Linked DNA regions of Arabidopsis thaliana. The protein of the gene in region 1 interacts with the protein of each later gene in a pairwise test. Each region holds a gene or a part of one and is shown on either strand. Other genes may lie near its edges.

Region 1 (5,309 bases):
CCTCCTAAACTTCCCTGAGCCGACTCTGTTAAGTTTTAAGGCTTTGTTTCTTGAATCTTCCTCTTACAGTTATTAATGATCACCTTAGTAAAATCAATAGCACATATATGTAGCCTGCATCTGAAGATTCCTTGTCTAGATTCTCGTGACAATTGAATATGAAAAGACATGAGATGAAAGTTGATGTTGTTACAGTTGAAGAATGTGTAAATGATACAACTGCATACCAGTTGGTTAACTTTATGTATATAATCGAAATTTCACCTGATTCTGTTGTCATATTAAAAAGACATGATGATACACTCCTGGAAGTGGATCTATACTCCAAGGACTCACTTTGTTGGTTTTGAATTGGAAATGATGTAGTTGATAGTGAATAATGGATTGATCTTAATCAAAGCGGTGGAAAGACGATGAATGGGGATGGCGACGAGATCGAGTGGATGCAGCGGAATGAAAGGGGAACGAATTGTACTTCCAAGAGTGATGAAAGACTCTTAGACTACGAGCTTGGATCCAACTTAGATATTACACACTAAGAAGAAAACAAGTTGAAAAGATACTACACACTTTTCAGATCAAACAAGTGAAAGAGAAAGTTTTTGATTAAAATGTTTGATGATTACAAATGAGAACTACAATGAGTTTATATAGGAGAGGAGGAAGAAGGGGAAGAGGTGAGAGAAGAAAGACATGCAAGAGCATGCACAAGTACACACTCATGCAAAGAGTTTTGGAAATAACAAAAACAATAAATGCAAAGTTTGAAGAGAAAATAGAAAATGGGCCACGGCATTGTGAGTGGGCCTTGGACCACGAATTGAGCTGATAAAGGGAGGCTTGAAAGTGTTCCTTAGGCCTCATTAAAAACCTTGTCAAGAAAACCCATTGGGACAAAACTTGATAAGGGAAAAAGAATGCATAAGCAACACTTAACCCTTTACCGAGCCTCTTGAGCCGTGATCACTATGAAGGAGGATTGAGTCACGTCTTCTTGATTCTTCTTTAGCTCCTTGAGTAGTCCATTGATAGCTTGGTTGAACTTCTTAGATTTTGATCTTGTTAGAGGACCCGCCAGAACGATTAATGCTTCCTCCGGTACAAGCTGCTTCTCGTCTTTTTGTGGTTCAAGTGGTTTGGTTGCCTTGGTCATGTTCTCATCGCATGAGTTTGGACTTGAAACTACAAATACAAAACATAGAAACAGAAGACAAATATTATCATTAAACCAAACTGATGAAGCAGAGAACCAGTTTGATTTCGATCAATTTCCCTCATACATATATGTATGGAAAACTGATCGAGGTCAAACCAGACCCTTTCATTCATTACATTGCTAAAACATATCTGTAACCAAAATTAGCAGAATCAATACATACATATAATAAAGAAGTAACTAGAAGTTAGTTTGAAAACTGCAGAGAAATTATCTTCAAAGTGCTGAAATAGTGTTTGCAAAGTCTTTGAAACAATCAGAGAATCGTAGATTATCTCCATCCAAACATCTCTGAAAATAAGAAAACGGAGTTAGATCCACCGAGACTTGATCATCAACAACAGCGTTCAAAATACTTGCACTAATCTCCTGATGAGTAGTGTTGTCCGAAAACCAATCATTTAGCGCGCTCTCAAAAGGCGTGTCGAAGCCAATGTCTTGATCGTAATCCAGGTTCATTTCAGGTAAAGCAGCGTTGTTATCCATAACACAAAAAGTTTCACAAATCGAGCGAATCTGATCTTGTTCTTCAGTGATCTCATTGAAATTTTCAGGTGAATTATCAGGGACGCAACAAATTGCAGAAGTACTCGACTGAATATTTAGGGTTTGATTTGGCTCTTGAGTAATCTCGTTGAGATTTTCTGGGATGCAACAAATTGGAGAAGCGGACTGAAGAATTAGGGTTTGATCATGAGTTTCGTGGTCTGAAACAAAATCGCACTTGTCGTTGTTCTTCAGGTCCTCGCGATCATTAACGAAAGCTTGATTACAGGCTAAAGCTTCATCCGCACGCAATTCCTTGAGATTCCTCAACAGCGTCCGCATAGAGTCGATCGCTTCACTAATCTCTTGAGGATTCTCCGATCTGGCAAGGCTCTCGTCGTTCCACCAAAAACCTAACCCTAGATTATTGCGAGTCAAACAGATACCAACGTCCTCCCTCGTCTCTTTGTTATCCTTCGGAACAGGACGTTGTCCGGAGAGAAAAGCAGAGACAACGGCATCAACAGAGGAGTGACCGAAAGAGTAGAAGGATACGTTGGATTCAGAAGAAGGAGGAGTCGCTAAGATAGCGATCTGTGCGTCTGAGAGAAGACAAAGCTGAGAGGCTTTGCTATAGAGACCTTCACGGCGTTTGGTGCAGGTAACCCTAAGGGAATCTCTCTTCTGTATCGTCTCAATCGCAATCTTCCTCTTCGTGCCACCTTTTTTCACCATTCTGATTGATTTTTCTCAATTTTGTTGAGTGTGGAGAAAGATAATTGAAAAGTGAAGGCTTCTTCTATCTCTCAGTCTCATATATATAAGGGAAATATCGAAACCCCATATCAATATCATCCACCTAAACCGATTAAACCACATGGACCGTAATCTTGTATGGGCTAAGCCCAACTATCCACCAGAATCCTTTTTTAGTGCAGTCTTATTTATTTTTATTTTGATAATTTTTAGTTATTGTATTATGATTCAGATTTATTTGGAGATATTTTTATTTTTCAAAAAATATTATTTTGCTAGATTCTACAAAAAAAATTTTGTCAGATTATTATGAGAGAGACAAACAAATATATAGCTGGTTCTTCACATTATCGTGTTCATTCTTTCTGGTTCTTCACTCCTTAAAATGTGGCTATGGAGTTGACAAAGGTGACCTGGTAGCAGAAGAAAACTTTGTTAAAGACCTACTGAAAAACAATAGTCCATCAAATAAAACTAACAAAAAAGCCTATCAGCTATCCTAAACACACAAAACTCAAAATATCAATACCAAGAAGAAACAATTGTAATTGGTGACTATAGAACAAACCTTGAGAGAGGGTCATCAACATATAATCACTGACTGATTTCATTGGAGCTTAACCTTGACAGTGTTTCAAAAACACCTAGCAATATCTATCACTCAGTTTACTACCACTGTCTAGAGCAACCAAATCGTCCAGACTTTCTATAAAAACGTTGTTTCTTAGTATTCATCAATTTTTTGTCAAAAATATTTGCAATTATACTGTTTTTGTCTTGATCATCTATTGTAGACTGGATATTTGCACATGTAATGTCAACAATTTCATCTGTTGTTGTACCATTAGCAGAAAAAGAAATGATTCTCAAATTTGGGGTTGGTCAGTCAACAGAAGATGATTCCAAAGCATCAAACGTTTTTGACCTCTCCTCCAATTTCTCTTTACATACAATTTCAAAAAGAAAAAGATTATCTCCAACTAAACCCTAAACCTAAAATTTTCTAACTGAAGGAAAAAAAATCCCCTAAAATTCTCTTCTGCCATTAGAACCAGAGTTTTTAAAGAATTGCAGGAAACCTAACTAAATAATTTGGAAACATGAGAAAAAAAAACATCAGTTTATCTACATAGGCGCGATGATAAGCTACGAAGAAGGTAGCGTCCGGTCGAACCAGTTAGAGAGATTTGAGATTTTGGCTGCTACACTTTTATTTCGACCAAAGAAAGTCTCTGCATTGGACAACATAACTGATACGTCGTGTCGTAATGCTTCCACACTTCGGTAATAGTTGTTCTCAAGCCTTGATCTGATTACTTCAAGAGACAAAGGAACTGGGAACCTGCAGAATGAATCCATAGAACAAAACCATGTCAGCTTTGGCTCCACCAAAGACTCTTCCAGGGTTGTAGAAATTTACCTGTTGGAGTAGCTGGAATTTCCCACGGTCTGGTTCAGTTTTCGGAGGCCAAAAGAATCCTGAAACAAATTAGCCCACATTATATCAATATTGTTAGTTCTTGGGATAATGTTGTGTCTTAATCCACTAAGCTTTAGAATGTGATCTATAAACCAACTAAGCTAATGTAAACATGGGCCTAAGCTCTTTGGGTGAAGTCTGAATTTGGTGGGGAGGATAGGCTAGATTTAACACCATGAGATATTATATTCATTAGGATCACATACCTGGGTTCTCTTGTCTGAAGTCTCTAACTTTGTTAAGGCCGAGAGCAAACGGTTTCGTTGCTCATCATCAATGTGAGGCTGCTCCCACTTGGTATCTGCATCAAAAAGCTCCCAGGGACTGTGAAGATGTGTCTCGGCAGGGTCACTCTTGTACTTAACTGTGTACCTCTCCCACGGACTATCAGGAAAATCAGGTGATTTGGGTTTCACAGCTAGAATCCGTCCTTCCCACCAACTACCATCTTCTTCGCCTTCGTCTCTCCACCAAACTTTACACTTGTCCCTGCAAGTCCAGTTCCTCTGTATTGCTGCTTCATACCGACTTCTTTCCACAAGAAAATCTGGAAACGTCACCACTTCAGGCAACGTAAGTTTGAAAGCTTTGTTGAACACTTCGGAGTTTGGATCGATGACCTTAAGTATCATTTTGCAGCAGCTATCCCCAGAACCAGGCAGAGTTGCATATTCAAGACTTTCCACTTTACAAATTTCTACAGCCTTTATATTTCCTCCTTTTATTGATGTCCAAGGAGCCACTTCCCTCAGGGAGCTAAAGTTTAAGTATTCTTGATGCCCCTGAAAGATAAGAGTAACAGCCGCAGATAAGAGAACTGATACCAAAGGTCGACTAAACGAAACAACAGATAAGATTACCCTCAAAACTTACCTGTCGCAAATACGCAACTTCATCCCCCATTTGTGGAATATAACGAGAACCCTCTTCATGTATCGATAATGTCAACCAGGATACATTTTCTATTAACTGCTGAGGCTTCTTTGTTTCAATAGGTTTAGTTTCACTAAAGGGATAAGTAGACTTTCTATTTCTTGTGGATCTCAACCGAAGTGTTGCTCCAGAAGCGGATCTCAATTCTTCCTGAGAGTTTTGGTTTCCACGTGAATCACTTATTTTATCTTGGATGTGGGTCAAACTGCCTTCCGACTTCTCTAATCCATTCAACTCAGTCCCATGGAACCCATTAGAGGCACCTTCATGGGACTTAGAGCCACTACCATGATCCTGACTACAAGAACCTGGACTGACTTCTTTAGTAAGAGCAGCATCCCTGTCTAAGTTGTTCTTATGCTTCCGTGACTTTCGTCTATAGACAAAATCAAACATCCGTTTAGGATGTGAGTGTGACACAGGAACATCATTAGCAAT
Region 2 (6,636 bases), 5.7 Mb from region 1:
ATGGTTCTCTCCGCCGGAAAAACAAACGGACATCAAGATTCCGTCGCTTGTCTCGCCGGACTAGGAATCAGTCCAAAAGACCAACGAATGATCGTCGAATCTTTAATCAGCATAATCCCTCCACAGAAAGATTCCGTCACTTGTAGCTTCCTCCTCCGTCTTCTTAGAGCAGCAAACATGCTCAAAGTAGCTCCGGCGTTGATCACGGAGCTCGAGAAACGCGTAGGGATGCAATTCGAACAAGCGACGCTTCAAGATCTTTTGATTCCTGGTTATAACAATAAAGGAGAGACAATGTACGATGTTGATCTTGTTCAGAGATTGTTGGAACATTTTCTTGTGCAAGAACAGACGGAAGGATCGAGTCCGAGTCGAATGTCGCCGTCGCCGTCGCAGTCTATGTACGCCGATATCCCGAGAGGGAATAACAACAATGGTGGTGGTGGTGGTGGTAATAATCAGAATGCGAAAATGAGAGTGGCGAGGCTTGTGGATAGTTATCTCACCGAAGTTGCTAGAGATCGGAATTTGCCGTTGACAAAGTTTCAGGTTTTGGCTGAGGCGTTACCGGAATCTGCTAGGACTTGTGACGATGGACTATACAGAGCCATTGATTCATATCTCAAGGTATATATATATTGAAGGTCTTTTTGGTAAATTCGTAGAATAGTTTTCAACATTTTTTTGGCTTAATTTTGTTGTGATAGGCGCATCCGACATTATCGGAGCATGAGAGGAAACGGCTATGCCGAGTGATGGATTGTCAAAAACTATCAATGGACGCATGTATGCACGCGGCTCAGAACGAGAGGTTGCCATTGAGAGTGGTGGTTCAAGTTCTCTTCTCGGAGCAAGTCAAGATCAGCAATGCTTTAGCCAACACATCACTCAAGGAGTCAACCACTTTAGGAGAAGCCATGGGTACGTATCAGCCTATGATCCCAAATCGCAAGACATTGATCGAAGCAACACCACAATCGTTTCAGGCAAGTAAGAGAAAACACTCATCAAAATTCACACAAATTCCTTTTTTCTAATTCCTCTACTTTGAATGCAGGAAGGATGGGCTGCAGCCAAGAAGGATATTAACACGTTGAAGTTCGAGTTAGAGACGGTGAAGACCAAGTACGTCGAGCTTCAGAACGAGATGGAAGTGATGCAACGACAGTTTGAGAAGACGGGGAAAGTGAAGAACACGCCATCTTCTTCGGCTTGGACCAGCGGTTGGAAGAAGCTAAGTAAACTGACTAAGATGAGTGGACAGGAGAGCCATGACATATCCTCTGGAGGAGAACAAGCTGGTGTTGATCATCCACCCCCCAGGAAACCAAGACGATGGAGGAACTCAATTTCATGAAGTGATAGTGATGGTTTTGTATCTTCTTGATTTTGATTCTTTGAAAAGAAAAAGCTTTTGTTTGTTCCTAATTTGTAATGTTTATTGGTTTCTAATATGGAATAAGTGACATAAACGATTCGATTTTTATCACAAACCAAAAAACGCCATTTGTTTATTACAAAACCATTTAACAATACAACAATAGAGACACAACAATACCAGTAGCATGTGGGTTGAAGCAAAAGACAAAGGAATAGTTTGCATTATTACAGACACTCAAATTAATTACATGAACATGACATCAATATTTCATAAAAATCATGGACCCATCTAGTCATCATATGGACAAAAGAGTGTGTGTGGGTCAGAGATATTTTATTACCTTAGGGGAGATTCATAGATCACGCGAGCTTGAGATGAGACTTTGAATATTTGCCTTTTGATTTCACCATCCACACTCAGCCAAAAAAGATAATCATTGTCCATCAATGACCATGACGACTTTGGCTTTTCATTCCACACAGAGAGAAGAAGAAAGTGACCTCTTTTCTTCTTTAACTTTTTGAAATTTGCAGTAGCATATATAATACTTAAAAGTAGTCCACTATATACAGCTAAAAAGCTGGTGCAGAGGATACGTACCCAAAAACCCACTTCACACGTTTTAACTCGTCAGAATCTTTCACGCCTTATCTGTCTGCAGATTTCTTGTTCCCCATGTTGTCTCTTTAAGCAACAAGATTGGTGACTTGTGAGTGGTGGAGCTTTGGTTCTTAACCTCTGTGGAGATTAAGTCTCGTTTCAGCAACTTTAGGTAATCAATTGCTTCGTCCAGAAGTAAGAGCGCTTCGTTTCCTTTTGCACCAGGGACTACGCTCTCGAGTATTTTCAGAGCTGTGCGGATCTTGTCTTTCTTCGACTGCTCGTTGCTCAGACCAGAACCAGTGTCCTCTTTGGTCGATATGGTTTTTGATTCAGGGAGCTTTTTGTCCTTAAGAAAGGAAGATCCATTGAGTTGTGTGGAGCTCTCAGTGCCCACAAGTGATGATAAGTCGCTGATGTTGTTGACCTTATCCAGTAGTTTCTGCCTTTTACAAGGACCATCGATTTCTTCTAATTCCCTTTTGTTGCAAACTCCTTCATTTGGATAAGGAGAGTGACCAGTGCTCATTACTTCATCATCACTCTCGCAATCATCATCATAATCATCATCTGAATATAGCAATGCATTGATCTCCTCAGTGTCTTCATGCATTTCTGACTCTGTTCCATCACTCTTGTGAAACTCTTCACCATCTTCTTTGAAAGCTTTCTCTATACCTTGTAACTCAGAGAGTTTCACTGGTTCTGCAGCCGCATGAGATGGAAACCGTAGAGGAAATGGACATTGTAATAGACGAGTCTGGTCTCCTGACTGATCGAATATCAAAAGTCTTTTCTGAGAAGACTCTAATGCTCCAAGTGGAGTAGTAGTAGTAGTAGCAGCAGCGCACCAAGACCGCATGTCAGACCGTGAGAATCTTTTTCCATAAGACTCCTTATCATGACTGCACAGCAAAGACTGGAATGGTGGTGGCTGCAAACAGCGAGCCTGAAGCTTAGCTGCATATAGTTTCCCAAGCTCAGGGAGAGGAATTCTAGGAAGGACAGACCGACCTACTATATCCTTGAAGCAAGCTTGAGGACTTAAGCCCAGAGGCAAATCCCGTTGCCTCTTATCCAGAGGCATGCTCTTAGCAGTTTAGCTCAAGGGAACTTCAAAAAGTACAACACTGCAGGACAAAACAGAGGCAAAAATCAGCTCAAGAAAGATAAAGTCAGTAATATCACAAGCGTAATTAGAGGGAAAAGAGCATACCGATTGTTAAGTTGCTCAACTGAGTGAATGCAATACTTCTTGTGTCCTTTTCGAGAAAATAGTAAAAGAAAGACGAACGAAAAACAATCACAGATTGAAAAATGCAGCGAAATGTCACCAACCAACTACGTGACTGGTTTGAGTAGAAGTCTGAAGTACTCAGCCTGAAACACAAAGAATAATCACAAAACCACAGTGTTAGAAGACTAGAACTATATAAGCTAAAAGTATGATAACAAGAGCATTATTGTCTGGTACAAACCTGGCAATTATCCATCGGTTGATAGCATTCAATAACTCTCACTACAATTGTTGATTCGTTAGCGTTTCCGGTCTCGTACTTCAATCCTCGAAATCTTGTCTTACCAGGTGATTGGCACACCATAACTTTGAGGAAATCTTGATTGAAGAAAGTAGACAGATACCAAAACCAAAAGGAGGAAAGTTTTGTTTGTGGAAGGAGAGTGAGCTTTTAGTCTAGCTGATTCTTTGTTCACAATGGTACACATAGAAATGTTGTGATCCCATTTTCAAAAGTGTTTATAATATACCGAAAAAGAAGGGAAGATGAATAAGAAAGAAAAGGATTTGACTCTTGAAGGTGTTGCTTCAAAGGTGAAACAATCTACAGTATCACACGGCAATACAGATTCAAGCTCAAAACTTTACGGTATACGGCAATACACATGCTGTTTTCTCTTTCTCTTCCTCTTATACACACTCTAATTGATTCTGATCACTCAAACCTACTTTAGTATCTGTGCAAAAAGTCGAAGGAAGAATCTCATCAGCACCAAAAATGAGCTAAATCCAGAGATCAAAAACAGTAAAGGACATAGATTTATAAACGTCTAGCAAGTGGGTGTATTCACAGCATCAATTCCAGCAAAATTACGCTACATTTTACTATTACAACTCAGAATATACACAAATCACAATGTTCTAAGCTAGATTCAGACATAAATTACAGAACTTTACCATTTCACAAACGACTCAAACCGTTTTTAACCACAGTCTCCAGATACACAAACAGAGAGAACAGTGACACAGACTATAAGAGAGAAAAATTGGATTTTGATTACCTTAGAAAGGAATGATCTTTCGGTCAGATCCAGAGAAAACGATGAGACTTTTTTGTTTTTTTTTGAGCTGAATCAATGGAAAAGCAAAGGGATAAGAGAGATGAAAGTGACCAACGAACAATAATGTCTAAACGGAGAATTTTTTTTTACGAAATATTTCTAAAGAGGTGAGTGGCAACAAGAGTAACAAGGCTTTATAAAAAGATTTTATGACGCTTTTGCCCTTTTCATTACTTTATTTTACCAATTCACATTCTCAATTTTTTCGGTTTTTTGTTTGTTCTATATATCGAAATTAATTTTCATTCTATATTTTTTTAAAAGAAAAAAACTAAGATACGCAAAAGGTAACATAATTTAAGTTGTACAATTTGAATTTTTAATTATTTAGAGGAAAAATATGTGTAACTTGGAAATTAATCTAGTAATTAAAAACGGTGGCAATGTTTATATTTGTGCTTTGCTTGAAAGAAATGGGACAAGGGGGCCGAACGTGTATATACGTAATTATGGTATATATGATGACAAAGTCTCACGGTCCATAATTTCAGGTTATACTTTATCATTAAATAATATTTTTCTAACCAATATAATTTTTTAATATATACTTAATTCGTTAAAGTAAAAGTTCATACGTTTTCTCTTATTTATTTTAAAAGCTAAGTTAGTGAAAGTGTGGTCGAGCTTTATTATATCCTTAATTATTTTCTAAATAAATACTATTTCAGGTTATAATCCCTCTTTAATTTTATTGAAAGCTAAGTTAGTGAAAGTGTGCTCAAGCTTTTTTTCATCCTTAATTATATTTTAATAGTACATTTGTTCAGGTGCGGTGTTGTGTGTGTTTCAAACACCCATTGTGACGGAAAAGAATAAAAGCTAACCACTCTTTTTAATTGTTTAATTTAAATTGACAATTTAGCATCTATCTAGCTTATACAACGCCAAAATTAGCTCAATACTTTTGTTTTATTTTTAAAAATATTATGTAGACTTTCATTTATGTTAAAAGTTATTATTCATAAAAGGACTTATGTGATTGGGGAATGTGGGTGAAAAGAAAAAGAAAAGTAAAAAGAATGAAAATGAAAATGGAGAAAAGAAAAAGAAAAAAGAAGCATAAGTGATGATTAAAGAATTGCACGGGAATTTTAAGTGCTTAATTACCCGCACGACTTCTCTCGCGTCTCTCTCTTTTTTCTTCCTTTCTTTTGTTAACTTATGTATCTTGTCTGAAAAAGTTTTTAACTTTAGTCTTTTTTCTTCCTTTGATTTGATATTAAGAACAGTAATTTATACTGTGTTTTGAATTAGAAGTGGTCAATTCAAATTTCATTATGGTTGAGACCATTTGCTTTGGGTCTGATATGTCATTAAGATTGAAGTTTTAGTTTGATTCTTTTGTGCTTTTTATTGGCATTTTGATTGAATAAACAAAACCATTTTAATCAAAATAAAAAAACGGGAATAATATCATAATATAGTACAAACATTCCAACTGAAACACGAGACGGGTCTTTTCTTTTATTTAGATAAAAACGTTGTCCAAGAGTTTTAGAAGAGCAATGACATCACAAAGTTTTGTTGCATAAAGATCCCAGAAGCAATAAACATAAAGGGTTGTTTAATAATCTACCCACAGTTTAGGAGCTGGGGAGATCATTACTGCACGCTCAGTACTTCGATTTCAAAGTCGAGAACAGAGTTTGGCTGGATCCCCCATGCCGGAAATCCACCAGCGCCATATGCGTAATCCGATGAGCACTGCAGAAGCAGATAAGATCGCAAGCCAAAGATGTTAAACATATAACGAAACACCCAAACTATCATGAAAGACAAAAGTGCTTCAACAGAGAGCCATAAAAGCATAGATGGCAAAGAGGAACATGATGAGAGAAGCAGAGTATACATACCCGCAAGCGAGCAACCTCTCCAATTTGCATTCCGATAACGCCTTCATCCCATCCTGTAAGCAAAGTTAAACAATCGAATCATATGATGTTCACTCGCCAAAAAAGAGGCAAATAGGTTCAGAGATATGATATGATTAACCATAAAACAGAGTAAGTAAGTTTATACCTTTGATCACAGCACCTTTACCGATTTGGAACGAGAAAGGTTTTTGTCCCTCGTCCTTTGTACTATAATGATATACCAAAGAACAAAACACAGTTAGGCTCAAGGAAATACCAAATTAAATAAGTCTTTTAAGACGAAACATATTGATTTATAAACTGAGTATGCGTAGATGATAAGAACAAGTAAGTGTAATTATCTTTTTATTGATCCTAGAATCAAAGCTTACAATAAAGAATTATTTACCTCCAGAACTTCTGGGATAGATCACCATCTTTCCC

Evidence for each region. The genes of interacting proteins can lie anywhere in the genome.
Region 2: the proteins of AT5G49420 (region 1) and SAC51 interact in a two-hybrid assay, tested with the Arabidopsis thaliana proteins (one large-scale study listed by BioGRID).

The regions. Positions count from the first base shown.
Region 1 is NC_003076.8:20,033,734-20,039,042, forward strand, and holds AT5G49420 (MADS-box transcription factor family protein), read right to left. Parts: upstream 2,473-5,309; 5' UTR 2,438-2,472; coding exon 1,433-2,437; 3' UTR 1,380-1,432; intron 1,183-1,379; 3' UTR 939-1,182; downstream 1-938. Other genes in the region: AT5G49410 (thiamine-phosphate synthase), read left to right, coding at 1-18; AT5G49430 (WD40/YVTN repeat and Bromo-WDR9-I-like domain-containing protein), read right to left, coding at 3,605-3,800, 3,879-3,937, 4,145-4,720, 4,812-5,309.
Region 2 is NC_003076.8:25,728,869-25,735,504, forward strand, and holds SAC51 (transcription factor SAC51), read right to left. Parts: upstream 4,446-6,636; 5' UTR 4,280-4,445; intron 3,956-4,279; 5' UTR 3,460-3,955; intron 3,362-3,459; 5' UTR 3,198-3,361; intron 3,112-3,197; 5' UTR 3,069-3,111; coding exon 2,022-3,068; 3' UTR 1,467-2,021; downstream 1-1,466. Other genes in the region: Phototropic-responsive NPH3 family protein, read left to right, coding at 1-627, 708-986, 1,058-1,357; FKBP12 (FK506-binding protein 12), read right to left, coding at 5,942-6,043, 6,193-6,245, 6,359-6,420, 6,602-6,635.